Linked DNA regions of Mus musculus. The protein of the gene in region 2 interacts with the protein of the main gene of each other region in a pairwise test. Links are inferred from orthologs where the notes say so. Each region holds a gene or a part of one and is shown on either strand. Other genes may lie near its edges.

Region 1 (7,059 bases), on a different chromosome or scaffold from region 2:
CTGCTTGATGGTGGCTGTCACTAAAGAAGGCAACTAATTTTCTGGACTTAATTCTCATATTAGGGACTAACTTGTCAAAATAACAGTACTACCTGATTGCCATCAGAAAGGCTTTGATGAAGTAGCTGCAACAGAGAACTCACCCAGGCTACAGACACTAACACTTCAGATTCAGAGTCTTCACGTGGACCAATGTAGTGGGCACACATGTAATAATCCAAGTAGTATGAACACATACTCTTGTCACAGTGAAATAGCTTACTAAAATTTATAAAATGAGTATTATTACCTAGACACTCTAATATTAACCACATATCACAAGAGAATAAAAAGCAAGTGCTCTAATAATTAGCAGACAGCAGCTTGAAGCTAAAAGCTAATAACACATGTACATAGTTTAATAACTAAAACTGCCATTGCTATTTCTAAGAATGAGTAGCTTAAAGTGTAGCTATACATGTATGGTTTGTCTGTATGCATGCATATGAAGAACAGGGTGTCTAGAGCATCTTCCTCTATTTCTATCATACTTATTTGAGACTCACTGAACCTGAGACTTACTAATTGGCTGCATTGGTTAGCCAGTGAGCTTAGAATATGTCTTTCCCATCCCTTCCTCAACTCCTAGCACTGCAGTTAGAGGGGCATACTTGCTTCCTCATATATGGATTCTGGGTATCCAGACTCAAGTCCTCATAATTGAACAAAAAGTGATGTACCCACTAAGCCATGTCCTCAGCACCATAGATCAGTTATGTGAAGAAAAAAATTGAACATGGTTTTGAACATGTGATTTCGAGTACTAGGATAGCTGAGGCAAAAGTTTGAGTCTAGCCTGGGATACAAATGAAACTGTGTCTCAACAAGCCCAAGGGTTTGTGGCTCAATTGGTAGAGTGCTTGCCTAGCATGAAGGAGGACTGACTTCTATCCCTAGCACTGCATAACCTGGGTATGGTAGTGATGAACTTTTATAATCCTTACACTTGGGAGGTAGAGGCAGGAAGATTAGAAATTCAAGGTCATCTTTGGCTACATGTTGAGTATGGGACCAGTCTGGAACACAGGAACCGGTCTCAACAAACAAAGGAACTAGTAAGCTTAATTTCTTTAAAAAGTTATAATTTGCTTAGGCAACAATTAAATTACTTTATCCTGTGCTAGGTCTTCATGTCCTCTCTCCATACTCCTCAGTAGATAATTTAGACTCATTAAAGGAAGACACTGACATGCAGTCAAGCTAGAAAAGTCACCATTGTAGTTAATCACCTCCCAAAGGCAAGTCTATATACCTTTTCTTGTACAAAGGCCTTAAAGTTGCTAGGCAAGTAATCTAGTACTGAGCTAAAGTCCAGGTTCTGTGTGTGTAATATATATGTTTGTGTGGATGTCTATACCAGCATACACGTGTATATGTGCTCACCACCTTTCTTTTGAGGAAGGGTCTCACCATGAAGCCCTATATATCCTGAAACTCACAACTGGAATCAGACCATCCTTCAATTCACAGATCCTCCACTATCTGTCTCTCTATTGATAGAATTAGAAGGGTGTGCCACTACACACAGTTCACTACACAGACAGTTTTCTTCCTGAACCTAAAGCTCTCTAATTGGCTAAAGCTGGATACTGTAGGAGCTCTAGAAACCTGTATCTAGAAAGAAAGAAAGAAAGAAAGAAAGAAAGAAAGAAAGAAAGAAAGAAAGAAAGAAAGAGGGAGGGAGGGAGGGAGGGAGGGAGGGAGGGAGGGAGGGAGGGAGGGAGGGAGGGAGAGAGAGAGAGAGAGAGAGAGAGAGAGAGAGAGAGATCTGACTTATCTGCTCTGCCTATCTCCAAGCTTTGGGGATCCCACTGGACTTTACCCTGAGTTTGGGATACGCATGATACCCCTGAGTTTGGAAATCCAAACTCAGATTTTCAAGATTGCACAGCAGGCACTCTTTCAAGTGGGCTATCTCCCCAATACACTTTTGTTTTTTGAGACAGGGTCTCACTCTATACTCTCCAGATGACCTGGAGTTATGTAAGCCTAGACTAGCTTTGCACATTGCCTCCCAATTGGATTATAGCTGTGTGTCATCACACTCAACAAACTTACACTTCCTTTTTGAAGGGCAAGCAAGGGTTTATTGAGGAATATCTTTCCTTAATTTAAATAGTTCTTAAATAACCACATTAGTATCCTTCAGAGCAGTATGCACTTAAGTGGAAAGCTAGAATGAACTTTCTGGTAAATTCTAACTCACCATGCTAGGTCACTGACTTGAAATGAAGGAATCACCAGAATATTCGTGTTATTTAGAATCACTAAAGTGACCAGAGAACCACGATTTTATTTGACCGAGGAAGCTGTCCTCTCTTCAGTTTAATGAATGGCAAGCACTGAGTGGACTCCAGCCTCAAAGATCCTTAATTGAGATGTGTTCTTGAGAATTAAACAACAGAAACTCATATAGTAAGTATCTTCAAAATTTATAATTGATCTAGAGGCTTAGAAGCCAACCAAGACAAAGGAGGCAGGAAGAAGGAACAGACCACAGCTGTTCTGTCATACTTTCACAAAAGCAGAAGCAGGGACCTCAGCCAGTCACTTAATAAAGGTTGGTCTTTTTCATGATCTTAAGAAACTCTTCCTCGTTCACTTCTCCGTCGCCATCACGATCAGCTTCATCAATCATTTCCTGCAGCTCCTCGTCTGTGAGGCTTTCCCCCAGCTCATTGGCCACACGCTTGAGGTTTTTGAATGAAATTTTCCCAGTTTCGTCGTCATCAAACAACCTGAAAGCCTTCAGGATTTCCTCTTTGGTATCTTTCTCGGCCATCTTCTGAGTCATCACAGCCAAGAAGTCATTGAAGCTGATCTTTCCTGTGGCCTCTTTGTCTACTTCTGAAATCATTTTCTTCATCTCTTCCTTCCTGGGTTCAAAGCCAAGTGCTCTCATGGCCACCTTCAGCTCCTTCACATCGATGGTCCCGCTCCCATCAGAATCGAAGAGGTCAAAGGCTTCCCGAACTTCTTGCTTTTGATCTTCGGTGAGTTCAGGCTTAGGACCCACCTTTCTCTTGTAGCTGGTAGAGGCAACGTTTGACTTCCTGAAGGTGGACGCCATCCTCCACAACAGTTGGGATCTTAACGGTGCCCTGACATCGCACGTGTGTGAGGTGCCCTGCTAGTGCGCCTGCGCCAGCCCCTATGCGCCTGCACCTGCGCCAACCCCTATGCGCCTGCGCCAACCCCTATGCGCCTGCGCCTACTGGCAGTTAATACCTACTGGCAAGAAAGTGCTGTAGCTATTGTCTCTATAATTCTTTGGAACATGCAGTTCTTTCCAGGTCATAGGCATCTGCAGTGCCTATGTATATTTATTTGAAAATCATCTGCTCCTTTTCCATATTAATTAAAAGGACAACTATAGGGAAGTTTGACCACTTGGTATTAAATTCAAATAAGAAGGAAGAACATTAAATGGCACTCCATGTGTTCACTAGACATGATTATGAAACAGGTAAGATAAAGGCACTTACGTGTAAATTTTGAGGAAGTTTGTCTCCTATTGAACCTTAGTAAACTTTCCTGGCAGTTTCTCAAGTATGACATGTAATGTCCAGTATAATTCACTTCTAGTACCTGGGTGGTTGTTGTAATTTCATTCAGTAGGCTTTTGACTTCGACAGATGAGGGTGAAGTGTTCTGGTATGTATTTGTAAAATTCTAGCCGTGTGTTTTTATTCTCACTCACTATTTGCTACCTGCTGTACAGAGCTCCACATTCAGGCAGAAACAACCACTAAGCAAGAAGGTATCTTTAGGGGCAAACTATATTTACAAGGGAGACATCTCCCTTTTTAACTCCACCTGAAAATTTATAGGGGAAACATTTAAGGAAAGAGTCAAGGTCACCTAAAGGTAACTTTTGCTCTTAAAATCCTAACCAAATCCATGAAAATTTCATGTCTCCTTTCTTATAAGAGTATGTATAAGCTTCTGAAATAAAACTCCCACACTTTATTTGATGGCCTTGTTGTTTTGCAGATAATGTCAATGTTCTCCTTAGGTACTGCAAATAATAAATCTTACTGTACACCTTCATCTGGTCATGCTAGTAGGTTTCACATTCGTCTAGAGGAGAATCCACTGTATTGTTACATTTGTCCCTCTCTGACTGCAGACAAGGAAGGTGATGGTGCAGCATAGTGGAAACCTAAAATTGTCTTTTGAAGTTAAACGGGCCCTTCTGGGAACCAAAGCAACAAGAGAAAAGTGGAAGCTTTTTAGGAAAGGAAGAAGAAAGAAAGAAAGAAAGAAAGAAAGAAAGAAAGAAAGAAAGAAAGAAAGGAAGGAAGGAAGGAAGGAAGGAAGGAAGGAAGGAAGGAAGGAAGGAAGGAAGGAAGGAAGGAAGGAAGGAGAAAAGTTACCTAGCAAATGCAGATAGCTGACTTTTAATTTTTAGTATTCTTTAATCCCCTCCCCCCAAAATGTATATTTACCAGTATTTGATCTGTACAACAGATGACATCTGGAAGATTTTTTTTGTTCCAAATCTTCTGTATCCCAGGCATCCAGAACAGTGCTTGACACATTGAAGGGATATTGCTATCCATTGACTTCTTGCATAATTAATATTGATCCTAAAATACTTTGTAAGTTACCAAATGAAAGGTGATTCAAAAGACCCAATAATGCTAGGAATATTTTTACAAAACTGTGTTTTGTTTTATTTTGTTTTGTTTTGTTTTGAAATTATGATTTGAAATGTTGATTATAAGGTGTGTTTAGAAATTTTGTTTAGTTATTTGGTTTTCCTGGAGTCAAATGCAGGATTGCATCTATGCTGTGAAAGTACTCTCCACTGAACCCCAGCCCAGCCTTTCATGGCATGTTCAGCTGGTCAAATCTTATTTCCTTCCCCCAGTGACAATGGACACAGGTTTTAGGTATAGGGTTTTTGAAAATAAATAAATTTTTTTAAAAGCTCATTTGGTCCCTTCCCTCTCCTGCATTTCCTGTCTTTATTGCATCTTCTTTCAATTCTACATCTAATTATCTCTGCAGATTTGAAGAAGTTAACTTATCCTCTTCATGACATCCATATCTCTCATTTGAAAACCCATACTAAAATTCCCTAATGTATTTTTATTTTAAAAGCCCACAAAATCTTCAGAGACACTTTTCTAATGGGACTGGCAGATACAGACCTCAGGTCCTTCCAGACTTGCATTTCCTTTGGCAGCCCTTCTTTTGCCTAAATTTGAGACAAGCTATGATGTGTTGGGGAAAACTAAGGGCTAAAAGCTGCCATATAGAGAGTAATATTTGAGGCCAAGTTGAACTCAAAGCAAACTGGTTGTCATAGTTTCCAGATGTGTGCAATCAGCAGTCACAACAAAGGGCCACCAAAAGTTCTCTTCATAGGAAACAGTTCCCTCAAAATCAGTTCTTGATGAACATTTTGTGTTCATAGTCTTAACCCTGACTTGAAAAGGAGACATGTCTCCTTTTGCCTTATTTGAACCTTGTATTCATTTCCTGTCTCACAGATGGAAAAAACAAAGCAAGGCATAGAAGAGGCCTGTAATGAGTGTTTAATAGTATATAGTCAATAAATGTATTTTGAGGTCATACCTTGGCCTTGTCTGAACCCAGAACTTGAACATTGTTCATTACATCATTTATTATATCATGCTGCCATAGAACTGAGAGTCTTAGTAAAGCATAGCATGGCTAGAGAGAGGCTCCTGGCTATCATCCATGTACCTAGGAGTAAGGAAGTAAGAAACCTTTGTAGAATAATTCAACAGGGATTTGCATGATTTGGCTGAATCCAGGGTACTTTGCTAGCTGCTAAGTGAAGAAGGCACCTCTGGGGACAAACGCATGAATGGATATATAGAGAAAACTGGTGACTCTTTAAAAGACTCTTAGCTGGGCTGGAATATGCCAATGCCTGTAATCCAAGCATTTTAGAGACTAAGGAAAGAAGAGTATCAGGAAGTTGGGGCCAGCCTGAGCTACATAAAAATAATCCTCTCCACCACACCCCCAAATTCTTAATGCACCTTCAAAGTACTTCTTTAAAACAAACAAATAAACAAACAAACAAAAACAACTAGAGCTCTTTGGAAAACTTTATGAGGAGGCCGTTGAGGCCACCAAATCACTCTGACTCATTCTTTTAAATGACTTTGCTCACTATAATACTAAGTTCTCTACCCAGAAGTGTTAGTTGTTGTTGCTTTCTTTTTTGAATATGTGATAAATGACCTAAGTGCAGCATGCTCAAAAATGTACATCTGCTGGACAGTGGTGGTGCACACTTTTAATCCCAGCACTCAGGAGGCAGAGGTAGATGAGAGGCACCCTGGTCTACAAAGTGATATCCATGGCTGCATGTCTTGAAAACAAACAAATAAAAAACAATTAAAAGGTGCATCTAAACTGAGAAAGCTTCTATGTATATATGGGCATCATGTTCATGCTCAGTGCCCATGGAAGGATCCCCTAAAGTGGACTTACAGATAGTTGTGAGTTGCGAGAGCAACAAATGTTCTTTACTACAGAGCCAAGGCTCCAGAAATGTGCTTTCTAATATGAACGTTATAAAGTAAAGTCCCTGGGGAGCAGGGGGGGGGGGTGGGGAGCCACACTTTAGTTAAGGATTCTACAAAGCTGGTTGAATGATTGGAACTTTGTGGTTGTAGAGTTGGAATATAGCAGATCTACTGCCAAATTATCTTGTGATATCTTTAGTATGTATCTATTCTCATTTTATTTCTGTTGTGATTAAACACACACACACACCCTGACAAAAAGCAAGTCAAGAAAGAGAAGTTTTAACTCACAATTTTAGGCTATGGTCCATCATTTCAAGGAAGTTAAGGTTTCCAGAACTTGAAACAGCTAGTCACATCCACAGTCAAAATCAGAGAGAGAATGAATATATGCATGCCAAATAGTGCTCAGCTTGCTTTCTCTGCTCTCATCCAGTGCAGGATACACACCCAAGAAATGGTGCTGCCCACAATGGCTAGGTCTTTCTACCTCAAATAGTATATTAGACAA
Region 2 (7,881 bases):
GGTGAAAGAAAACTTGGAAGGGCCTGGTGCTCGCCCTCTCTTTGCGTGCAGTTAAGACGGGAGAAGTCACCTTGCGGCCAGCTACACGTTGGTTCGTTCTCCGCCTCTTAGAGATTGCGTTTGAATTCCCCGAGTCCGCTTTTCAGTTAAGTTGTACCAGTAGCAAAGAGAAGCATTCAAAGTATCTTGTGGTTTCAGCTTAGGTTAAAGAGTGCCGAGAATGTAGTGGAATGGTGCGTGTCACCCTCTAAAGCACCATTCTTCTGAACCCAGAAACTGAAGAAATGCTACTGTTTTCGTCTCACGTTATTTCTCCTGCCTGTTTGCAAAGAGCAGGGATAAATGGCAGATAACGTATTTTCCAAAAGTCCGATCGCTTTCTGACCGCAATATGTTTTTAAGAAACAATTTTGGCGTCTGATCATACCAGCTCATTTGTTACTAAAATAATCCACAATTCCCAACTCTGGTTGCCTACCAGGTCTGCAAACAAGTCATAAGGGAAAATGTAATTAAAATTAAAACGGATCAAATTACCACAGTGGTTGATTTGAGACTAGTGAAGTGTTCATTCTTCGATGCAGATCCATGCCTATTTTATCTTCCCTGCATGGCTTAATGAAAGACAGTCACAGCTCAGACTTAGTTTACTTATCCTCTGGAACCATACCAATGCTGAATAAAAGAGAAATTCCCTTTGCACAATTCTGGCTGCACCCTGGCTTTCTATTCTGTGGTTTTCCCTGCATCTCTCCCTTCTTCTTCAGTGTCTTTATCTCAATTGTTTTCTTAGCAAACTATAATTGAGGCCTGCTCCAGGGGCAGCTGAAACTGTCACGGGTGTCAAGGCAGCCTCCTGATCTGCATGCTGGGGGCCTTCCTTGCCCCCTTCTGGCCAGTGACCCTCATACTGCTCTCCACACAATTCCGGTGTTCTGGCTGCCTCCCATCTTTCTCCTGACACTTCACTGTTCCTTAAAAGCTAGCAGTTTTAGGTTCCTCTTCTCAGAGCAGTCCTCTGTTAGGATTATGAACTCCTTTGAAATCATGTTTGAATCTAAAAATCCTTCTAGAAAATACATATGTTTATATTCTAAAAGTGTGTGCAGTTGTGTTTGGTCTGCAGGATAGCAGTTCTTTTACCACAATGGGGAATCCCATCCATCCCCATTTCTTTCGTATTACCCCAAGAGGTCAATGCCTCCTCAGTCTAAATCTCCAGCCTATGCTTGTAATACAGGCAAAGGCACATCCTAGCCATTGTGAATTCCAGTGCTCGGAGCTGGGTGCTGAGTAGCCAACGTAGTCACATAACCGCTATCCTTCTGTAACCACAGAATTCAGCAGATTGATTCCCAGATCCTGCAGATGCCTACATCTACAGATGTTCAAGAGAACTATATAAAATGGCATAGTGTAGCCTATGACATATACCACCCTTCACACTTTAAATTATGTCCACTTTACATAGAACCCTAATATAGTATAAATGCTAGGTAAGTTGTTATTGCACAGAATTGTCTAGGGGATGGCGATAAGAAAAGTCTGTGCATGTCAAGACCAATGTGATTTTAAGAAATACTTTTGGCCCACAGATGAGTAAATCCATAGGAGCCCAGGGATACTGACTCCTGCGTGCCCACAAACCCGATGCTCCAGAGGCAACCTCATGCCGGCACAGCTGGTACTGAACTTGCTGACCTTCCAGTTCCATTGTGCTACCGTCCTTGCTTCGGTGAGTAGTAGCATGTTTCATCTAGTTACTCTGGACACAAATCTGAGCACATCAGTAGTCCCCACTTGGATGTTTAAGTGGTCATTGGTCATGAGCCCACATTGTCATCACCGTCGCACAGCTGCCTCAGAGCCACACCTCAGAGCCCTTGCCAAGGCTGCATTCTGGTTTAAGGACCTCATTTTGTCTCCCAGGTTGATACTTAAAAGAACCCTTACTGCTTGGATTCCTACAGCTGGCTCTCGATTGGACTCTATAGTTTTAGAATCCAAATCTGTCCTAAAGCTGCCAGAGTAGTATTTCTTTTTTAAAATGTGATTTTTTGAAAAGCGCAGTGTTCAGAGAGGTAGCTCTGCAGTAAGAGTCTAGCCCCTGACTTGCATAGCTGCAGTGCATTCAACCCTCACCATTGTAAATATGAATAAATAAAAAACAAGGTTGGCCACATCCGTTGTTTCAGACATTTAATGTCTTATGTAAAGATTCAGCCTTTTAATATGAAAGGTTATAATTGTAACTATGCCTTCTTATTTGATTTGTATTCAGCCTAACCAAGCACCCTGATTCTTTTTCACGTACATGCTATGCCTCTGTGCCTTGGCTTACACAGCTCTCCTTTTATCTTGAGTCTGTCTCTCAGGTCTCAGTACTGGGGCCATGCTGCCTGACTTACTGGTGTTCAGAGAGTTTGAATAGTTACTATTTGCCTTTTAACTTGCGCACCCCCATTGCAATAGTTTTCTTTAGTTAAGACATGGAATGATTTCTCTGTGTGTGTCTCAGTATGTTGTAATGTATGAAGTTAATTTTCTTACAGTAATATTCCCCAGATGTAAGTATCTCAGCAAGGGAATTGACTCAAACTCTTGGGCTGTCTTACTCCAGAATGTCACAGGAAAGTATTTGGTCTCTGGGATGTCACCTAAGGCTGAAGAATGGTGACCACAGGCTCTTTCCTGAGAAACTCTGCAGGAAATGGTTCTGAAGCAGTTTTCTTCAGTCCTTTGTGTATTTAGCACATCTCTTAGGGTATTATAGAAACACAAATGTTTGAAGTAAGTCCCTTCTTTGGCCCTAGGATTTTTGCTGAACATGTCAAGTGGGTGATTTCTTTTAAATGACACGAACAATATTTGCAAGTTAAAGCACTGTTGCACTCCATGTATTTAAAAGCTTTGGTGTAAATATTAGGAGAGAACTGAAGCTAACTTGTGCTGTTTTACAGTGTTTGCAGAATGTCATCTGATGAGGACAAGTGTTCACTTCATGTGGCTCACAATGACTCTGACCGTTCTGTCTCCACAGACCTTCAGGTAGGAAGACATCTAAAGTTATTGTGACTTTAAAAACTTAGAAAACGCTGTGTAATGGTGCAGCCTTTAATCCCAGCACTCAGGAGGCAGAGGCAGAGAGATCTCTGAGTTTAAGGCCAGCAGGTTTCACATAGAGAGAGCCAAGACAGTCAGGGCTACAGAGGCCACATTCCCCCCAAAATTTAAACAAAGTATTAATTTATGGCAAAACCAGAAGTGCATTTTTCATTTACTCATTCCCTTCACAGTGAAGTGTTCGTGTTTACAATATTATCAACTCTCAACTAATTTGGGGAGTATATTGCTTTAAGTTTTCAGAAAATAGGCATGAACTGTTCAAAAGCATTTTCTGCAAAGGCTTTAGCACAGTGAAAAATAAAATTCAGAATTTCGGAACATTATGTGAAATGTTCTCATTTAACTGCCTCTGCCAAATGCTTTCATCCTTAATGAAAAGTAACAGAATGTCAGCCATCTGAGATTCTAGGGTCCAAGGCTCACTAATGCTCTGTGTAGTAAGGTTCTTGTTATGACCACTATACTTGCCATAATCTACATTTGGCATAACTACTGCATTGGCATAATCTCCTACCTTGAACCTGGGCTGTGACTGATGAGTTAGGAGAAATGCTTAGGAAAGAGTGTGTTATTTACATGGGATCTTAAAATCCCACAAGCTGTGCTTTCTTACTGCCTCAGCTGCAGGGCGGTGGAAGAAGTAGATGACCATTTGCCCAGGTCCAACCCTGGGGCTTATTCATTTACATAAAAAAGGAGAAATAGGTGCTCATAGTCAGTTAGCAAAGGCTACTGCTGGAGACTTGGAATTCCGTACATTATTTTATTAGGGTCAACTCCCATCTAGGTTTACACAGACCAATGAATACCTTGTATCTTATCCCAGTGTATCCTGTCAAGTTAAGGTTGCCCTTTTTCTTAATAACTGAAAAATTTGGATTTTCCTTTATTTTAACAACCAGGTATGATTTAGAAAAAATTTTAATTTAAGACTATATCAACCTTTTTAAAGAATTATAATTTCTTCTGTCAATATGAAAACTAAACATTATGATAAGCTACATAAATTTTTTTCCAAACACAGACTTTTACTTTGTATCTTCAGCCCAGGCTAGCTTCAAACTCCTGATCCTCTTCTCACCACTGCTCCGTGCTACAACTACATAGATGCTTGCACACACCTGCCACACTTCCTAAATACTAGGAAACAGGTTAAAACTCGGGCTTATTGCCTTGAAGGGGCATCACTTGTATCATCTTTAGTTAAATTGATAGAGAATGTAAGAAAGAAGAGATAGAAAAAAGTGTTATATTGAATCACCAACACTTCCCCATTAAATTTTTAATTATAAATGTCAACGTCATGCCAGAGCACTCAAAGGACTCAAGCTAAGCAAAAGGGCTAAGCTTTCCTGTATTGTGGTAAGTATATGACTATTATGTGGTTACATAGACTTCTTAACACAACAAAATGAACGTTTGAATGCAACATTATAGCTGCTGTAATACATCGCTGTTCTTGGCTTCTCATAGGAGGAGTATGAAGAGCTGCTTCGCTATGCTATTGTGAATCCAAATGTTGAATGCAGTGCTTCGCAGCCATCTCACCTTAGAGGAGAAGTGGCACCGGATAGATTCCCTACGCTAGCTGGTATGCCTCACCAACCCGGTTATATGCAGTTGTCAAGATGCCACTTAAGATCCTGAGTCTGTTGGTGATGCTGGCTTGACTGTGGAACTGCCCCTGACCATCACTGGGCTCTTCTCAGTCCACAGTGTAAAGCAGTGTGATGCGGGCCTGCCTTGCGCTTTACTGCCATTCCCGGCTCTTTTGACGGTTGGACTTTAATTGAAACTGCAGTTGACTTTTAACTTCATGAAAAGTCATAAAATCAGAGCAGCACAATAGTGATTATCTCTTTCCCCGGGCTCTGGAAATCCTGTACTCGAATCCTCAAGCTTACATGGCAAGCACTTTGCTGGGACTTCTCTTCCCAGCCCTTGCCTGTTTATATTCATCAGTCCGCAGCACTTTAGTTTGTTCAGAAGGAATTGTCATTAAGGTACTCAATGTAGAGCCTGGCAGTGGTGCTGCACACCTTTAATCATAGGATAGATAAATATGCACGTATGTTATAGATATAGAGCTACCATGTGACCCAGCTGTCCTCCCTAGACACACACTCAGGGACACGAGAGCTGGCATAAAATACCTGCACGTCCATGTTCATTGCAGCATAGACCCAGTCCAGTCGCCCTGTAGTGGATGAGTGGGTAATCGTCCATGGAATCATCAAGTGAAGCAGAGCAAAGCAGGCTTGGGAAGACAGGCAGTGCAGCTTCTTCCAGTGTGTGGGATACAGATTTTTTTTAAATGTATTTAAGACACAAAAGTAGAAGAGGTACTATTTAAATGGAAAAGGACCCAGAGGTGCAAGGAAAACAGAATAAGAAAGGGTTAGTATGTTATCTGCATACATGAATATGTCGCAATAAAACCATTGTACACGTAGTACGTACACATGTATTCTTTTAAGAGGTTTAATTTTAAAAACTTGGGGCGGGGGAGCTGAACAGATGGCTCAACAGTTAAGAGCACTGACTGCTCTTCCAGAGGTCCTGAGTTCAATTCCCAGCAACCACATGGAGGCTCACAACCATCTGTAATGAGAGCTGATGCCCTCCTCTGGTGTGTCTGAAGACAGTTACAGTGTACTCACATATATTAAATAAATAAAATCTTTAAACAAACAAACAAAAAAACATAAAAACAACTCTTTTTTTTTTTTTTTGGACAGGAAATAACCCTGTAAGAGACACTGAACTGGAAGTGGGAAAAGGATCCGATTTAAATATTTCAAGCCATTCAAAATCAGGTAGGATGACTTTTCCTTAGTTTTTTTATGAATTACAGTGTATTAGCAAGAATAAGTCACCATATTACTTAGCCAGACTTTTAAAATGCTATTGCTGCTAGCTTAAGTGATAATATTAAAAACAATTCACAACATTCCAAAATCATGCAGCTAAGATCATAATTACAGCGCATGACATCCTTTACAATGCCTTTAGAAAGAAGATGTCTTAATAAAGATTTAGCGAGATATTAGTTAGTTCAGCCAATTAATAAGTCCTTCATAAGCAATGTACTGCTCCCCAGCATTCAGGCGTATGTATCTACCAATGTAATGATCTATGTCTCTATGTCATATACTTATAGTGATAAGATACGTAATGATATAATGACCTGTGTCATATATTTAAAGTGAGAAAATGTTCATTTTTAGCTTGAAATTATTTTAAACTAATCATTGATACTGACTATAACATAAAAGCAATGTATCCTTCTTACAGTTAGGGAGCAATGGCAAAGGTGACTAATGGAAATACGGCTGCTAACTACTCTCTATTGTTGCAGTCCTGTTGAGTCAGAGATGTGCAGAGAGAGGCTGGTGGGGAGGAGGGGAGGTTGAAGCTTACTAGAACCAGCTTCAGGCTTTTTACTTTACATGTATAAATGTAAACAATGGAAATGGGGCACTTCCCTTGCTCTACAGCGTGGCATTATTAATGCGGAACCATTTAAGTCACTTTGTAAGAAATGCCTGCCTTTGTTTCTTCACTTGAAAGAATCTTGGGCAATATTATTTTTGCAGATGGTCTTTCAAGCCCTTAAGTCATATGACTCTATTTTGTAAATGGTGAATATGTATATTTTTTCTCAGCAATAAAACCACAGAGCCTTTTGGACAAGGTGCCATGTGTTTGTATTCCTACCAGGATGCTAAGACAAGAGGATAGCCAGGTTTACACCAACCTGCACTACATAGGCCCTATCTCAGAAAAACAGAGCAGGGAAGCAGAGCCTTCTGACTCTCTACTCAGTAGAGCCCAGTGAAAGAATACGAGTACACTTGCTCTTTCTGCCTTGCTCCTTGGGTTCTTTGATTATCTTCAGACTGTGTAGGTGATATCTCACGTATGACCATCCCACACTCTATTTATTGCATAGCAAATGCACAATTTAGGGAATAATTTTCCTTCTTGCAAGGAGTTCTAGAAAGATTTGCTTTTATGTAACAAGTTCTGTAGAACTTCTGTCCTTGCTTCATTCTTCAAGAACAAGAGACAAGCCACCACTCTTGGTTATTAGAATCATCATAGTTAAGGTGGGATTCACCAGAAATGGTAACGGATGATGTCTAATTCCAGTAATCTGTGATGGAATATTGGCTCTTCTAGTTATGCTTTTTAAAGATAGAGGCCAGTTGTCTTTCTGGCTCTGGCTCTCTGCACCTCACTGAGTAATGGCAAGTGATAGTTGTGTATATGTGCACATGCATATAGATTACTGTACAGATTTTTCATCTATATGTTGGAGGCTAACAGCATATCTAGTAAACTAAATAACTAGCCCTTTTATATTGTCAAGTTCTAGCAATGTTAAGGGCAGGACCAACATTGAAAATAAACAAGAGTGATCTATAGACAACTGCCTCACCATGGTCAATCAATGCTCAGAGCCTCAGTGTTCTCCTTATGGTTGAGAAAATACCTACCTCTTAGGTATTTTCATGTTGAGAGCTAACCCTGAAATATAAAAGGCATTTTGTTAATGTGAATGTGACAGTGTGGCTGATCACACTCAGTTCGGGCTGGACCAGGATGTATGACACATCCGTGTTTGCCATAGGAGTTGTTTGTGAAAGATGGAAGGGGTGTAGAAGGCATCCTATGCCTGTCAACCCGTAATCAGTGACAGCACTGATATCCAAATGCCCATGCTGAAGTATGTATACCTCAAGAGTAATTTCT
Region 3 (7,881 bases), about 15 Mb from region 2:
TGTACTCACTAACCTTAATCTCAGGGACAGTGCTGTGCTGTAAAGTTGAGACAACAGCAACGACACTGTTGTGAGGGATGTCTTTGGCAGGGTAGAAATAGGAGCACTTAGGAAATGCCACCTGAAGATGGTGGCAGCTTACTGTAGTTGGATCTTGGATAGTGATCTTAATGAGTTACTCAGGATGAGTTACTCAGGGTGTATACAGTTAAAGATTTTTCAATAGAAGATTCTGGAAGGCTAGGAATTGGCTACTGTAACTTAATTATATTGCTTACAGTGTTATATAGACATTATATGAATTATTTTGTTAAGTTACTGACCAATGATACCATTTTAGGGGTCATAATCTAAGCATGTAGTTATTTTCATATATTAAAAAATTAAAACTAATACAATTATATGTATATACAAAACCTTTATTTAAATATTAAAGACATAATACAGGAAAGAAAAGAAATGGAATGAGAAGGCAGATCCCCCCCCTTAGGAAACTCATAAGAGCACCACAGTGAAGTTAGCACAGGCTACCTTGGAACCAGATTCCAGGCTTCAGATCTGGGTTCTGACTCTGTAACTTGGTTAGTTTACTTGTCTGTGACTCGTTTTCATCGATGAAATGGGGACCAGTGTAATGTGGTTTCTGGGAGGTATGTGGGTGATGAGCATGTGAAATGTTAAGCACTGTACTGGATAGTAAGAGCTACTAAATGCTGGTGTTGGGATTAAGAGTAGTCCCAGCACTCAGCACAAAGAAGTAACCCAGGCTCTGGAAGTTTGAAGTCCACCTGGTCTGCATGAGGAACCCCAGGCCAGACAGGGCCAATGAGACCCTGTCTCCAAGCAAAACACTCCAAGAGTTTGTGCCAGGCAGAGAAAATAGTGCTTCCTTTGATGCAGAATGCATTTGTATTGTTGGGACATTAAAACATTCTATTCTATAATCTCATTGTTTTATTTTCTGTCTTTAACTTTTGAAGGCTATTTTAAGCATTATTATTCAGAGTTTTGTAAAACATTTTTTCATAAGTACTATTCTAAGTATTGCAGATTTTTATATTTTACTACTTCAGAACAGAGTTTCATATCACCTAAACCTTAGCTTTATGGACCATTTGTTGTTGCCTAAGGACACTGTCCCACAGATATCTGCAGATGTGCCTGGCTTATTGGGCTCTCCCCATGATGAGAAAACAGCCTTAAAGTGCATTCAGTGCAGGCTACCTAGCGTCCATCCGTCACTCGGCTGAGGCCAAGGAGGAGCAGGTGCTTCCGGAATCTCTGCTCTTAAAGGAAGGTCAATAGAAGTGAGAGATTTTCACCTCATCTGTTCTTGGCTTGTATTTCTTACATTTTAAAATCCTATCTAAAATAAAATGTTACAGTGTTTTCATTTTGAGTATTTATCCAGCACTGAAATTTTTGCATTTGGCGGGATGAATGGTAGTTAAGATTACCAAGAAATTGTGGTGAGGGCCTTAGGATGTAAGTGTAGTAACAGGACATTTTGATTCTGTGTGAGAGAGATTGCTGTCTTGGGTCAGAGTTGTTACCTGTAGCCCCGGGACTGAACCGAACTGTGCTCTCTGTGCGTCCCACATTTGTGGACGCTGCTTCTCTGCTACCAAATAGCATAGCAGTTTAGACTGTGAGCTTAGGACCCTGAAAACCTAAAATGTTTCCTATCAGGCCTTTTATAGGAAATCTTTGTCAAGCCTTCACCCAGGAAAATTTAAGTTTTTGCAAAGGGAATTTTTTTTTTTAACTTAAATCTTTAGGGATAGAAGATGTCCAAGAAGATTGTAGGAGTAGAGTAGATGCAGTCTAGCATAGAAGTGACAAAGCGGCATGGTACTACATGCTCAGCACGATGAGAAGCTTGATCTCATGCAGTCCCCTCTGTTAGAGGAGGGTCAGAGCACTGGGACGGCAGCCTTGAGTCAGACTGATGGATGGTCTTACGTAGTGAAGGAAGATGGGACTTCAGTCAGCGGAGTTTAAGGAATGGGAGTTTGTATTTTACAACAGTAATTGATGAGAAGGTCAAAGATGAGCTGAAGCGATTTTGGAGGCAGAAAGTTCTAGACTTTATGATCAAGATTGTTAGGGTGAAAAGAAAGAGACTCTATTTGAGAGTAAAGTAAGATAGTGTCTTCAGAACTCTAGTGTCCAATACTTGGATAATTAAGGGACATTTATGGGGTTGAGGGTAATGCCACTGTTTCAGAGTCAGTAATGCAGCTACCTTTCCTTCAGTGGAGGTCTAAGAGGCTGTGAAGCCCATAGAAGGACTTGAAAGTCCAATATTTTTGAGTTTGAAGTAAGTATTAAATGTTTGGATAGGAACTAACTTCTCTCTCTCTCTTTCTTTCTTTCTGTACTTTTTTTTTTTAAAAATGTAAGAGTGCTTTGTTGTGTGTATGTATACCTACATACCTGAAGAGGGTGTCCGATTCCTTTATAGATCCCTTTAAAGATGGTTGTGAGCCACCATGTGCTTGCTGAGAATTGAACTCTGGAAGAGCAGCCAGTGTTCTAACCACTGAGCAATCTCCCCAGCTCTCTAACTTTATCTTTTATGATTTTGATTTGTCTTTTCAGAATTTTGTTTCCTTATGTGATTTTTGTAAGATCTAATACTTTTGATGGACTGAAATTTCCAACAGTGTAGTCAAATTGTATACCTTTGTAATTGGTTTTAGTTGCTTTATGTCATTACAATGTAAAAATCAACACAACAGAAAGTAGTTGCATGCACAGAAATTTGGAACTTTTGAACCAGGTGATATCTTAGCTATGTGTGTGTGTTAATTGCTTTAAATCCTCCTGTTTTTTTTACAGGTGTGGGCTACCATGCCTGGTTTGTTTTCATTGGAAAAAAGATGTCTTACAGAGAAGTTGTACTTGTAGAGCAGAAATGAAAGGTGACGATGTAGACGAGCGTCACCATAACACACTTCATGTTGGGTGATGCTTTAGTTGCTCAGGGTCATGAGTCCTAAGAGAAGTGCATTCTGTCAGAGTATCGCTGGGCGTTTTATAGACCAATCTGTCTGAAGTACTGATAGCGCGTGCAGGTGAGATAGTGTGCGTACTTGTTGGCCTCCTGTCTGTTGTGGCTTTAAGCACATTAGTCTTTTCAGCAGGGTGCCTTTCTGCTTTACCTGTCATGTATGTTACTTAATCCATGAAGAAAATTTCATAACAGTTTTTTTTTCTTGTCCTGCTTTTTTGTTGGGACTGAATTCAAAATACGTTGAGTGTGTGCCATAGAGTTAACTGTGGTATTTTATTTTGGTGTTATGGCTGTAGGTATGCCAATTCTTGTTACTGAATATTTATGAGCTTTGATTTGCATACTTATAGTAATAGTCTTCAATTAGGTTTTTGGAAATCTTTTTTTGGATAAAATTAATGGCGAGAGATAATTTTGGATATATGTGTAGTTGATGTAACATTAGCTTTGACTAGGTGCTTATTCAGCCAAATACAGATGAAATAACAATAGACAGACAACAACTTGAAGAGGACTTAGATTGTATTTTTTTACTTAGGATTCAATAAACATCCCAGTACTTTCCATCTACAGACATTTGAAAATTTCAAATGAATCTATAGATCCCAGCAGTTCACTGTTAATGATAGAATGATAAGTGCTTTTTCTTATAGTAGCAGAACAGCATATGGAGTTACTTCAGAAATAGATATTTTGAGAATTCTACCAAGCAACATAAAATTTTATACTATAGACATCAGTTTTTATTATGACTTTATTAAAGGCCTATGCTATTAAAATATATAAGCTTAGTATATTGATATATGGCTTTATTCTAAAAGAGTAAAATGGCCCTGCTTTAGACCTGCTTCCAGAGAGGTTTAGCCCATCTTCACAGTAGCTGAAATCAATGTAATTTTTTTGAATCATGAAAGTGCTGATAGAATTTGCATTTACTAACTTGTCTTATGCTTATATTGGTGTTGGCAATGACTTCTGTTAATTTCACAGGCTTAGTTGAATTCAACTAGAGGAAGAATTGGGGTATTAAACTGTTTAACAGCTTTAACATGGCCAGGGCAAATTGTTCACTTAAACTTAGTGACCTGAGAGAGGTGGAGTAATGTTTTTGTGGACTTAATTATTTTATACTTACATATACTTAGAATGAGTGCGTTGCTCCTGTGTGTTTACATTGCACTGTGTGAAGGGCCTAGGTCAGAAGAGGGCATTGGGCCCCTGGACTGGAGTTATAGACTGTCGTGATTTGCCAAGTGCTTGCTGGGAATTGAACTCAGATCCTCTGCAAGAACAAGTGGTCCTAACTGCTGAGCCATCTCTCATCCTCAGTTTAATTCTTAACAATAGTAGGCTTTAAATAAATAGTGTGTATATGTTGTCCCTTTTTTGGCCTTTGTACAATATAATTTAGCTTACATTTATAGTACAGACATTAAAAGTTTAACATTTAAAATTTGGATTTGGAATTCAGGTTTTATTTTTGAGTTTTAGTGATCTACCGTGACATTTAATTATTAGACTAAATGTTGACAGACTCCCAGGTGTTGCTCTCAGTGAATAGCTGATTTTTACATGAATGTCCTCACTTGAAAAGTTTCTTTTAACTCTAGTGACAGACTGGATACTAGAGAGAGATCCACATGAGGAGATACTGAAAGCATTTAAACTATTTGACGATGACGATTCAGGAAAGATAAGCTTGAGGAATTTACGGCGTGTTGCCAGAGAGCTGGGTGAGAACATGAGCGATGAGGAGCTCCGGGCCATGATAGAGGAGTTTGACAAAGACGGCGATGGAGAGAGTAAGTTTACCTTACTTTTGTCTAAAATCTGTTGATTTTTGTGACTCCCAGCAAGTTCTCCCCACCCCCACTTTTCCTTTCCCTTTTATTTTTGAAGACAAACTCATGATACTTTAAAGTGATTTCAAGTTTGACCTGGTACTTAAGATCCTTTGTCTTAGCCTCCTGAATAGATGAGAGTCCAGTTGGATGCCACACTCTGTAAGCTTCATTTGTATTGAAGCAGACCCTTAAGACAACTTAATGAGCTAAAATACGAAGTATCATACAGACTTCTCTGAAGAAGAAATATTACTAATATGTAGCTCTTCACTAAAAGTTTAGATCTCAGTGCTTTCTTCCTTAACCTGTTTACACTTCTGAACTATTACTAAATTTGTAGATTTTTCTTTTAACCACTTTTAATCTATTTTTGTTTGTTTGTTTGTTTGTTTTCTCTGCTGCTCTGTTTCAGTTCCTGAGTTATATTTAAAATGTCACAATGTTCTTTCCCAGGCTGCCTGTGAGGTGCAGCGTTGTGTACCACCTGTCCGGCAAATATATGCTGGTGTCTCTCACAGCCTTCCCATTGCCCTCTGGGCTTATTAGCCTTCATCTCCTTTTCATTCTGTCGATAATATTCTTTTCCTAAATGTGGGTTGTAGTGTCGTCATTTCTGTGCTCAGACACTGAAGAGTGAATCTTCACTACCTGCAGAGTAAAGCACACACTTAGTACTGAGGTCTATTTATGCTGCATTCTTCATTCTTGCTTTAACTGTTATGTACTGAACATCTATATCCTGATGACGGTGGCTTTGCTGCTTTCTTCTCTTAGGGAGCAGAGAGCCCACTTGTCTGTTGAAGTGCTTCTCACTTTCTCCAGCGAGAACTTTGGAAACACCATCTTTTTCTCAAAAGCCTCCTTAGTGGTGTATGGCAGCTGATGAGGGTGCCATTAAGGGCTCATGACATTTAGAAGAGCAAACTACCTTCATATTTTAGTATGTTTAATATGGATCCTCTTGGTTGCAAACCAAGTTTTGTACTTTTTTTTTTATATTTTAAACTGATGAAGATAAAAATATTTTTTTGCCATTTTGTGACATTTAGTAATTCATTTGCTTTTATAAATGTTTAATGGTATCCAATTTTTAAGAATAACTATTTTTTCAATATTATGGGTTTAATGAAATAAAGACTGCAAATGTGGATATGAAGGCAAATAATGTATACTACAAAATAGACATAAATATGTAGGTATATCTGAAGATAAAGAAGATTAATACCACAGTCTCTCAAAATAAATATAAATAATATAAAACAAAGTACACTATGTGCTTTTATAAAAATGAAAGTAACATTTAAGAAGCTATAGCAGACCACTTTTTAAATAATGATAATGATGGTTGGAATCTTTTATGTTACTCAATTTTCATAATAGCTTCTGTAAAGTGGATAGAGTACTGTAGCTGTATGCACATAAGAGAGATGCGTGTATAGTAGATTATCACAGAGCTAGTCCATGATAGCAGCAGAGCTCAGACTCAGTTCTCCACAGTGAAAAGGGCATTCTGTATTGTTTGAGATACTACAGTAAGATGTTAACTGCGATGGGAAGCAGTGTATTAATTTATTGACTAGTACTTCTGATGCTAAACTTTGTTTTTTTATTTTTCTTTTGAAGCCATGTAGCTTCTCAGGTACTCAAACTTTATATAGATTGTGTGTGTGTGTGTGTGTGTGTCTGTCTGTCTGTGTTTGTGTCTGTGTGTGTTTGAGAGTCATTTCTCACCTTCTTCCTTGTTGAGGGAGTGACTTCCTGTTTCTGTTTCCGGGTTGCATACTTCTGGCTAGCATGCCTGCTAAGATTCTCCCTTCTCTCTGTAGGAGTGCTGAGATCACAGAAGTGCACTGCACTATCTCTCAGGTTTTTATCTGGGTCCTGGGGGTTGAATTCTGGTCACCAGGCTTATGTGGTGAATGCTTTTTGGCTGAGCCATCTTCTTGGCCACTCAGATACTTATCTTTAAGCCAGGTGTTATGCTGTTGTCAGAAAGATGGTTGGTGAAGTTAGAAAGCCTGGCTTTCTTGTCACCTCCCTAGTAGTCAAGTGGCTAGTTTGGTTCCTTTAGTTCCTTTGTTCTTTACTGTTTTAGACTTAACTGTTATGCTTTTGGATATTAAATCATGAAATAGATTAAAATATTTTTGTAATACTATCATATGTTAAAGTATATATAAATAACATAAAACAGCTATTTGTGACTTCTACAACTTTTTGAAGCTGAATTTGAAGTTTGATTATTGAAATTTTATATTTTAAAAAAAGCAAAATCTTGAATAAAACTAAAGTACTTAGTTTTTAGTCATAGCTCTGTTACAGTATTAAATGATTTATAACCAAATCACTTTGAAGCTCCTTTTATTGCTTTCCTAAGAAAATAATACTTTCTGGTTTGGCCTAGAAGCCTCAGTGTAGATTGCTTCAATTGTGTTTTTAGATGAAGCTCCACACTGGCTTAGGATTCTTATCTATTTGAATTCTTAGTTGGGAGACAAACAGGTCGTATTCTCATAAGCTCTTTAGATGTGGTATTTAACCGAAGAGGTCACAACTCTTCATTTCTCAGGTTCATGAGTTGCTTTGTGTCCTGTCTCTTCCGTGTCTCTCAGAGGACCTTGTAAATGTTTCAGACTGAGCAGGAGCTGATGGAAGTCGGCCTGCTTTGACTTAGACTTCTCACTGGCCTTAGCTCACGGTTTACCTTTCTAGGTGTGTTTCCTCTTCCTGTGTCTGGGATGGCATTCCCCACCTTGCCTTCCCTTCTTTCTAAATGCCATACTTTTAATTGACAATCCAAGTCATGAGTTGTCTTTAGTAGTGTTTTCCAATACTTTTTGATCCATATTTTATAATATATTACTGTAAGTTCTGTCCATTTATTCTCCATTTCAAACTGAGCACAATTATTGCACCAGCTCTGGGGTTACTTTATTAGATGAATTCTTGACATATATGCCATAAGTGAACATTTTCTAAACCATCCTCAAGGTAGCTTTAGCATGAAAGTAACCTTACCCA
Region 4 (8,410 bases), on a different chromosome or scaffold from region 2:
AAAGGAACAGAGTGTGAAGTTAGACTGTGGCTACCTCGAGTTCCTTATCTGAGGATAGATTGTGCTGATCTGTGTAAGAAATACAGACTCCAAGGGCAAAATATACTTCCCAGACAAGTCAATTAGTGGAATTAGGAATCCTGATATGAGTCCCTGAGTTTTATGTTGTCACCACCCACCTCAGGCTTAGCACACTGTATAAGACCTGGCCTGATGATCTAATGGAAAGAGAACAACTCCCATGAAGCTGGCACCTACTTATCCAATGGATACATTACCCTGAGTAAATATTGCCAAAAAAGGGCAGGGGTCTTGTAAAAAAACAAAGACTTCTCTGTGCAGAATTCAAAGACATGGCACAGGATGAAAGTGTTTAGGAGGTAAGCCATTATTTTCCTGGGGCCATCCAACTGGACTCTGTCTTTTCACAGACCTGAGATGCCACATCTTTCTCACTTTTTCATATCTACTTACTTTTGAATTTGCTATGGGCCACTCAGGAGCCCCTTACCAAGCCCGAGCCTAGCTTCTACTGTTCCTTTCAGATTTAAGGTAAATCCAAATTGCCCCTTATCCTTCTATTTCCTCAGTACCTGTTGGCAATGCTTTCTTCCTGACTCAAGTGACTTCTATTGAATTATCCTGTTGTTGTTTTAGAAGTTGGATCTGGAAAACATTCACATTTCCTGCCTACATCCGAGTTGCTATAGGGGCTCACTCACTTACTTATTCACAAGTTGCCAAACAGCAGCCACTGTCAGACAGAAGCCAACTAGAACAGTTCAGATCTTCAAAGAAACCATCAGCTTGTATGGAAAACAGAAAGCTTCAAAGAATGATAGAGCTGTGGTTGGATCCTAAGGAGGCTAAGCCCATGAGAACTAATGTATGATGCTTAGTAACATGAAATTATCTGAAAACTTGAGTGCTAAGGCCCTAGAATGAGTGAGTTAAAGAGAGGATGTGAGAGTCTTAAAAGATAGATCACATCCAAGGGTGGGAAGAACATGTCCTAGTAACCGTGATAAGTTGCAAGAACATAAGAACAAAGCAAAATTATACTCAGACAGGTCAAAGAACTTGGCTAGGGTCACAGAATTAGCGCATAACCCAGGAAGAAATTTATTTGTCCTTTCTAGCCTGCTGGGCTGCCACCCCAAAGGGGACTGATGAAACCAGAGATGTTCACTGTAAGAGTATAAGCATATGTTGGCAGAGGGGTGAATTATGAAAAACTAAGGGATACTTATGGACTACCTGATAGACTAAGGTTCACTGAACACTGAACATGTAGTCTTTCCTTTTCCAGGTACTGGTGAACACAAATATGATTCCTGTCCTCCTGTGCCTACCTTCTAGTGGAGACAACAAAGAAAAAAGGTTAACTTTACAGTGGCTTAGGAGGTGACAAGTGCTACTATAAAAATATGGAGCAATATGAGGGGCCCAGGTACAAAGTAAAGAGAGTGATTACCTTTACAGAGAAGGTGACAATAGCTGAAGACCAATACTAGGCTTGCTGGTGCATACCTTTAATCTAAGCACTCAGGAGGCAGTGGCAGATGGATCCCTGTGAAGTTTGAGGGCATCCTGGTTTACATAGTGAGTGCCAGGTCAGCCAGAATTACAGAGTGAGACCCTATCTCAAAACAAAAAAATTATATCTACCTGTGAAATTTTCTCAAAGAATTAATCAAAATACTAAAAAATTTTAAAAAGTTCATGGGACTGGGTAAGGTCAGTGAAGGAATGTATCAGCCGCAAAAATAGTGCCCTGGGTGAGAGTGAGCCAGAGGGGGAACAGTGTGGGTGTGATGGGAGAAGGAGGAATTTCATGGCAGGCTTTGCAGATTATGGTGAGAACTCCAGCTCATACTGCTGAGGAAGGGCTGAGGAGGAACAGAGAAAACAGAGGACAATTCAAGGACGGAACTGTGAGAACTCAGAGGCTGGATATGGGGGATTGTTGCTGCAGTGAACAAAGGAGCCAAACAAGACACAAAAGTTTTGAAGCCGGTTCCTGGCTTAAAGGAAAGAGGGCAAAGGGCCTATATTACATTTATGGGGAGCTGTTAAGTCTCAGGCCTTTCTCAGTTTGAGAGACTGATACTGTGCCCTTAAAGTCCCTAAACTGATTTTCTTTGCTTTGAGGGACGTAGAACATAGAATCTGTGTTCGACCCTGGGCCTTCATTACTCCTGGCACAGCTCCAGGTAGCCCCAACCCGTTGTGCACTTTGCCCTTTAATTCTCTTTACATTCCATACTTCCAAAACTCCTGTGGCTTTGCTTTCAAGGGAGTCTCATTCAGGAATGCTCCTTCCCATGTGACTTGAGTGTCTGTACGTCTAACAGGACACATTTTGATGAGTTTTGAAGATCTAAAAGTCCCCAGCCCATTCCCCTGAGAGCTAAAGTGACTCTTGTAGAGCTAATGTAAAGACAAAGCCTCATGTGGATTGGGTTTCTAAGCCCCAGCCCTGTGAACCACTGACACAATACTCAGCATGCCCACTCCAGTTTCGAGGTCTCAGCTTCTCCTGGCACAGTCACCCCTCCAAACCATTTGGTCATATCTTGCTGGCCCCTCAGATGTTCTGTGTCCCCCAACTCGGTTTTAAAATGGGTCCCACCCATTCCCTCCTACTTCCTCCAGGCTCTGTCACCCACACGCAGCAGCCTCTAAGGGCAAGCCCGCAACTCTTACCCGGTTTAGACACTCAAATGATCGACCTCAGCTTGCAGACAACCGGCAACCAGAGAAGTCTGGCTGAACACCCGCCACCCTTTTCTACTGATAGATATGAGCCCACAATCAGCAGAGCTTCCTTCATAATGTTGATTGGTCTAGCTTGGCTCTGGCGCAACCAATTGACGCTCACAGCATGATTTTGCCCAATGAGGCTAGTCTTTGGCTGCCGACGCACCGCCCTCTTGCTCTTGGGCGAGTTTTGCCAGGTTAGCCCCACCTCTTCGTTCCCAAACCAATGGGAAGCGGGCTGTGCGCGCGTGGAGCAGTGGGAACGCCGCTGAGGCTGCGAGTACGCCGTTGCCTTAACAACCGGTGGCAGAGTCCGTTGGGTGATGGTAAGTGCTAGGGATTCGGTGGACCCCACGCGGCGTCCCCGGTCCTTTCCTAGGCCTCGGTGCAGCCTTGCTACCTTTCTTGCACGGTTCTTGGCGTTGACGCACTAGTTCTTCCTTGGAGCTGTGTGCCGGAAGGGTAGAAGAGAAAGTACAGCCGCCAGCAGCTTGCCTTGCCTGCTCTTTCCCACTACCCCCTCCTCGCCCAAGTCACCTTCAGCCACCCCCGCACAAACTGCCTCTGGACCTCCGCTGGCTTTCAGGAAACAGCAGGGTGACCATTCTATTGCTTCCCTTAGACTTCCGCCTCAGTCAAACTCAGGCCTCCTGGCCGCGGCCACCCAGTTAAAGTTTATGCATTGGTGCTAAGAGGTTTACTGTGTTCTGATGGTCGCAAACGCTTTCAGGAGAGGCTGTGAGAAAGCACGCAGGTGCAAATGGTTTGATTTTTATCACTTTGTACCGGCATAATTTTTATCTTAGTAAGTTTACATTTAGCCAAATTTAGGCATAAGTAATTGGAGGAGCAGAGTTCTTGGGAACTGGCACCACAAGTAGATGTTTTAAGTACATTTCTAAAACCGAGAGTACGGAAATCATATACAGTTGATCATCCATAACTGTAATTGGTTTCTCAAAGAGCTTTTGATGATGCTTTTTTAGATTTAAAAATGACTGAAATTGAATCTCCTAAAGTGACACATGGATTAATGGTACAATTGCATGAACTTTCTGTAGTATAAACTTTAAGACAGTGGAGGTCAGAGTTATGTCTTCTCATGAAGGCTATGTTAACACTAGAAATTCATATTCATATATTCACTTGCTCTATGTTGATCTATACAAGAACAAGGAGGAAAATGGTAATATACTATTTTAAAACAAAAACTCTCTTCTATTTGGTGGCTCCCCAATGAAATATAGTTGAATTTAGTCATATGAGACATCACATTAAGACAAATTTACAGTTATATTAGAAAATAACCTCATTATTGCCAATTTCTTTTTTTATAACTTAGTAAAAACTGACATATATAAATTGAAATAGTTTTAAGTTGAGAGAAAGTTTTTTCTTCACAGAGGTTTGTGCTATTTGTCATTTAGAGTTGGGGTTAATTTTATTTTAGTTTTTACACTTATTATTCCTTGGTGGAGAAGCACATTTTAGCCTGAGTGTGGCGGTCAGAGAATAATTTGGAAGAGTTAGTTCTCTCCTTTTACCATGTAAGCATCGTTTCCCTTTTCATCTTTGACAACGACAACTGAAGCCTGGGTCCTGGTTCCCACTTAGGTTATCAAGCTTGGCAGCAAGAATTCTCACTGGCCCATGGAAGTTTACGTAATGACATAAGTACATTACAAACGATGGCACACCTCATTGAAAAAGATATGTATGTTTAGAGCTGTCATAAATAAAACAAGGACTATGGCTTGTAATAATGTGCTTCTGTGTTTATATATTGTGTGAAGGCCTCTAATTTTAAGAAGACAACCATGGCATCCAGTGCCCAGAGAAAAAGGATGAGTCCTAAGCCTGAACTTACTGAAGACCAGAAACAGGAAATCCGGGAAGCTTTTGATCTCTTTGATGCTGATGGAACTGGAACTATAGACATCAAAGAACTGAAGGTAAGCTGCACACATCCTTTTCTTTGTTACCTTGTGTTTCCTTATTGCTTGTCTTTTAGCTGTTACCGTTCTTCTCCTTTCTGCCTGCAAAAAGTAACAGACAAGGGTACCCTGTGTATATTTTACCTGAAACAATGGTCTAATTGATAAAGTTGATTGCAAATATCAATTAAATCAGCCTTAAGTGTTCCCTGATCATTTCCATCATTTTATCAGGTGTTTGGTTAATATCTTCAATAGTCATTTTTGTTTTTACGTTATGTATCTATTTAGATGATTCTGTTTTCATTGTAGGTGGCAATGAGGGCCCTGGGCTTTGAGCCCAAGAAAGAAGAAATTAAGAAAATGATAAGTGAAATTGATAAAGAAGGAACAGGAAAAATGAACTTCAGTGACTTTTTGACAGTGATGACTCAGAAAATGGTAAGTTAGTTAAGATAATTAGCATGCTTTCTACCCATAATGGTAGAAACATGAGAATCTAGACATACAAAGAGCTTTATCCAACAAAATCTATCCCTTCCACATGGGAGAAGATAGTATTTTTAATTGAGAGGATCTCTACGTTTCATTTGGCTTTCTTTAAGGTATTAGCATTATCTTGTTTCATGTGGCCACATGATAATCACAAGCAGTAAAAACTTTTAACACCGAGATTTTCAATGCTAGTCATTTTTGGTTTTAATTTATTATTATTAAAAATTAAATTATCATACAATAAATCAGGTGTCAATCTGACATTTTCAGACAAATGGTTCACACTTAAGATTGGTTCCTAGATTATTCTTCCACCTGAACCTCCTGGCAAGAACCTTCCTGAAATAGCTGAGGTTTGAACGCTTTCAGAAATTCTGCTCTTCTGCATTACAAGGACTCAGGGCCCTGGTAATTCTTTGAAGGCCATTGTGAAAAATACCTCTCTCCTCCTCTGCCTTTATCAGTCTATCTGTTTTAGCAATGTATTTTCCCTGACTACAACCCTACTCACTGCTTCTATATTTTAAAAATGAATCTAGTGTCTGCTTGTTTTGTACAGTACTTTATATACAATTATATTTCCTATGTAACCCCTGAGTTTATATTCACTTTACTAAGTATGTTTTCTTTTTTTTTTTTTTTTTTACAATGTACCATACTTGTTTGCCTGTGACCAAGGACATATATCATGACAGCTATCACCAGGACCTTATGATAATGTGGGCCATGGCCGGGGAATTAATCTAAGAAGATAGTTTTCCTACAACTCCCTTCTTGGGATTAGAACTGGGCAGCGTTCTATACAAGACAAAGCACAGGAGGGACAGTATAGATACCTGGCCAGATCCAGTGTCAGGTGTTAGAAAGATGAGCCCCAGCTCACTCCAGAGGCTCTTGTCTTCTACCTGTGAAAACAGTATATGACTGTTCGGCTATAATAGGAACCTGTCCTTGCCACATGATACTTTGCCCCACCCCCCCAACAAGTCCTCATGTCTATTTTTTAGGACTTCTTGACTTTTTCAAAAGCAGGCATCTTTTTTCTACTAAGTTCTGATTTGATTATGGAATAGATGATGGCAGAGGAAGTAGAAAGGGAATATATGCCACCATGAATCAGAGGACCTGGCTTCCTAACATTGTTCAAGTCAGGTTTTTGGAGACAAAAAGATGACCGGGGAGTAGCAAGAGTGGCTGGATATAAGTAACTATCACTTTTGTGTTCTACTCCAGTCTGAGAAAGACACTAAAGAAGAAATCCTGAAAGCTTTCAAGTTGTTCGATGATGATGAGACTGGGAAAATATCATTCAAGAATCTTAAGCGCGTGGCCAAGGAGCTGGGTGAGAACCTGACAGATGAGGAACTGCAGGTGAGAAAAAGGCTATGGCTTTCGTGGGTTCTATTTTCTCTATTTTCCTTCTTTGAAGGAAAGCTAGTATCCCTCATACCTGTGGTGATAATTTCATACCTGTGGACCCTGTTTCGATAATACACATGTACAATTGAAGTTCCCTCATTTGGGTTTCAGGTCAGGGTGACTTTCCAGCTTCTTTTCAATGGATGCATATGACAGTCATTGAGATTTGGCTTTTAAGTAACTTTCATAGAAAGGGGCATACTCACATTAAATGGACCATAGTCATCTTTTCTCATAGCATTATTTGAAGTTTCTTCTTTTTTTTCTTTTGTTTTGTTTTTCGTTTTTTTCAAGACAGGGTTTCTCTGTGTAGCCCTGGCTGTCCTGGAACACACTCTGTAGACCAGGCCGGCCTTGAACTCAGAAATCTGCTTTTGTCTGCCTCCCAAGTGCTGGAACTAAAGGTGTGCGCCACCACAGCCTGTCTGAAGTTTCTTATCTAATTACTTTCAGTTTAGTTTGTGACTTAATCTAAGATGAACCCTTATCTCTGTGCAGGAAATGATTGATGAAGCTGATCGAGATGGAGATGGTGAGGTCAATGAGCAAGAGTTCCTGCGCATCATGAAAAAGACCAGCCTCTATTAAGATCAGTGTTTCTTTTTCTACTGCAAGCACATGTGACTAGATTTAGTGCCTGGCATTTTGTGAAATATGGCTTTTGAAAGCCTCCCTCCCCCAACCTGGGGTAACTTTAGCCATGACCTTGAATCTATTTTTGACTTTTGGAAGTGTTCTTTGATATTAAGTTCTTTGTACATTTACCTGCTGACTAAATCAACAGGGCAGAACAAGAGCACATAGAGTGGGGAAAAGGGTCTGAAAGTGTGACTGTGGCCACCCCACCTTCCATTACTTCACCTTGCTCATGCATATCCACTCGACTGAAAACATGCAGTGGCTTCTTAGTTGTCCATGTATCCATGTCACCATAAGCAGTGGTTGTTCTTAAAGTGGTTTTGGTTTTCATTTGACACCACAGTACAGTTTTCTCTTTTACAAAACCCAATGAGTGCTTGCTGTGGCATTTGGATGTGTGTTAATGTATTTGTTTGGTCTTTAAAAAAATAAAACCTTTCTTAATTTAAGCTCTCATTCTTTAAAGGATGAGTATTTTTTAGCTTTAACTGTGAGTTCACCTTGTAAACAACTGTGTTGAGGACAGCCTGGTACATATATACAATTTGTCATCGGCCTATGGATTAAAAAAGGGTAATAATTCTTTGTAACTTTTCTGCCATAAATAGTTTTTTTGCTTTCAGAACTTGTGGATTTTTACAGCTAGTAGAATTTCTTATGCTCTAAGCCTATAGAGTCTTATGTGTAATTTCTGCTTGGACAAAATGGAGAGGGATGGGCAGTAGGTAATATTCAGGCAATCTTATGAGATTATTTGTTTTATAATATCTCATTGTACAAGTGCCCTCTGGGCTTGCACAGAATTGCCTATGAGAGAAGCCCAAGTATGTGGCATTGACATCTAATCCAGGATGAGGGTGGGAACAAGAAGAGCTGAAGGGAAATGGAAAATGAACAATGATTAAATACATACATGAAAATGTACCTACATATATACACACACAAAACCCACTATAAGAGCCAGGCAGGTGATCAAGATGGCAATCCCAATGGATGAGGCAGGAGGGTTGCCATGACTTTTAGTCATGCTGGGCCTACATAATGAGTTTCGTATCATTCTGGGTCACAAAGTCTGATCCTGTCTCAAAGAAGCAAAACAAAACAAGACTCCACATAACCAGATCGGTTTGAATCATATCATCAATGGGTTATATGTACATATA

The links.
Region 1: the proteins of Poc5 (region 2) and Cetn1 interact in binary tests that used the Homo sapiens proteins (3 or more experiments, as listed by UniProt). The link is inferred for Mus musculus from reciprocal best matches to the Homo sapiens genes POC5 and CETN1.
Region 3: the proteins of Poc5 (region 2) and Cetn3 interact in binary tests that used the Homo sapiens proteins (3 or more experiments, as listed by UniProt). The link is inferred for Mus musculus from reciprocal best matches to the Homo sapiens genes POC5 and CETN3.
Region 4: the proteins of Poc5 (region 2) and Cetn2 interact in binary tests that used the Homo sapiens proteins (3 or more experiments, as listed by UniProt). The link is inferred for Mus musculus from reciprocal best matches to the Homo sapiens genes POC5 and CETN2.

The regions. Positions count from the first base shown.
Region 1 is NC_000084.6:9,616,311-9,623,369, forward strand, and holds Cetn1 (centrin-1), read right to left. Parts: upstream 3,160-7,059; 5' UTR 3,110-3,159; coding exon 2,591-3,109; 3' UTR 2,109-2,590; downstream 1-2,108. UniProt on the Homo sapiens protein: Plays a fundamental role in microtubule-organizing center structure and function. Plays a role in sperm cilia formation.
Region 2 is NC_000079.6:96,388,628-96,396,508, forward strand, and holds part of Poc5 (centrosomal protein POC5), read left to right. Parts: intron 1-1,595; 5' UTR 1,596-1,735; intron 1,736-2,960; 5' UTR 2,961-2,970; coding exon 2,971-3,048; intron 3,049-4,599; coding exon 4,600-4,717; intron 4,718-5,864; coding exon 5,865-5,942; intron 5,943-7,881. UniProt on the Homo sapiens protein: Essential for the assembly of the distal half of centrioles, required for centriole elongation. Acts as a negative regulator of centriole elongation.
Region 3 is NC_000079.6:81,787,330-81,795,210, forward strand, and holds part of Cetn3 (centrin-3), read left to right. Parts: intron 1-4,626; coding exon 4,627-4,818; intron 4,819-5,634; coding exon of another isoform or gene 5,635-5,726; exon of another isoform or gene 5,727-7,881. UniProt on the Homo sapiens protein: Plays a fundamental role in microtubule-organizing center structure and function. As a component of the TREX-2 complex, involved in the export of mRNAs to the cytoplasm through the nuclear pores.
Region 4 is NC_000086.7:72,912,990-72,921,399, reverse strand, and holds Cetn2 (centrin-2), read left to right. Parts: upstream 1-3,055; 5' UTR 3,056-3,083; coding exon 3,084-3,086; intron 3,087-4,553; coding exon 4,554-4,712; intron 4,713-5,006; coding exon 5,007-5,135; intron 5,136-6,422; coding exon 6,423-6,560; intron 6,561-7,106; coding exon 7,107-7,196; 3' UTR 7,197-7,835; downstream 7,836-8,410. UniProt on the Homo sapiens protein: Plays a fundamental role in microtubule organizing center structure and function. Required for centriole duplication and correct spindle formation. Has a role in regulating cytokinesis and genome stability via cooperation with CALM1 and CCP110.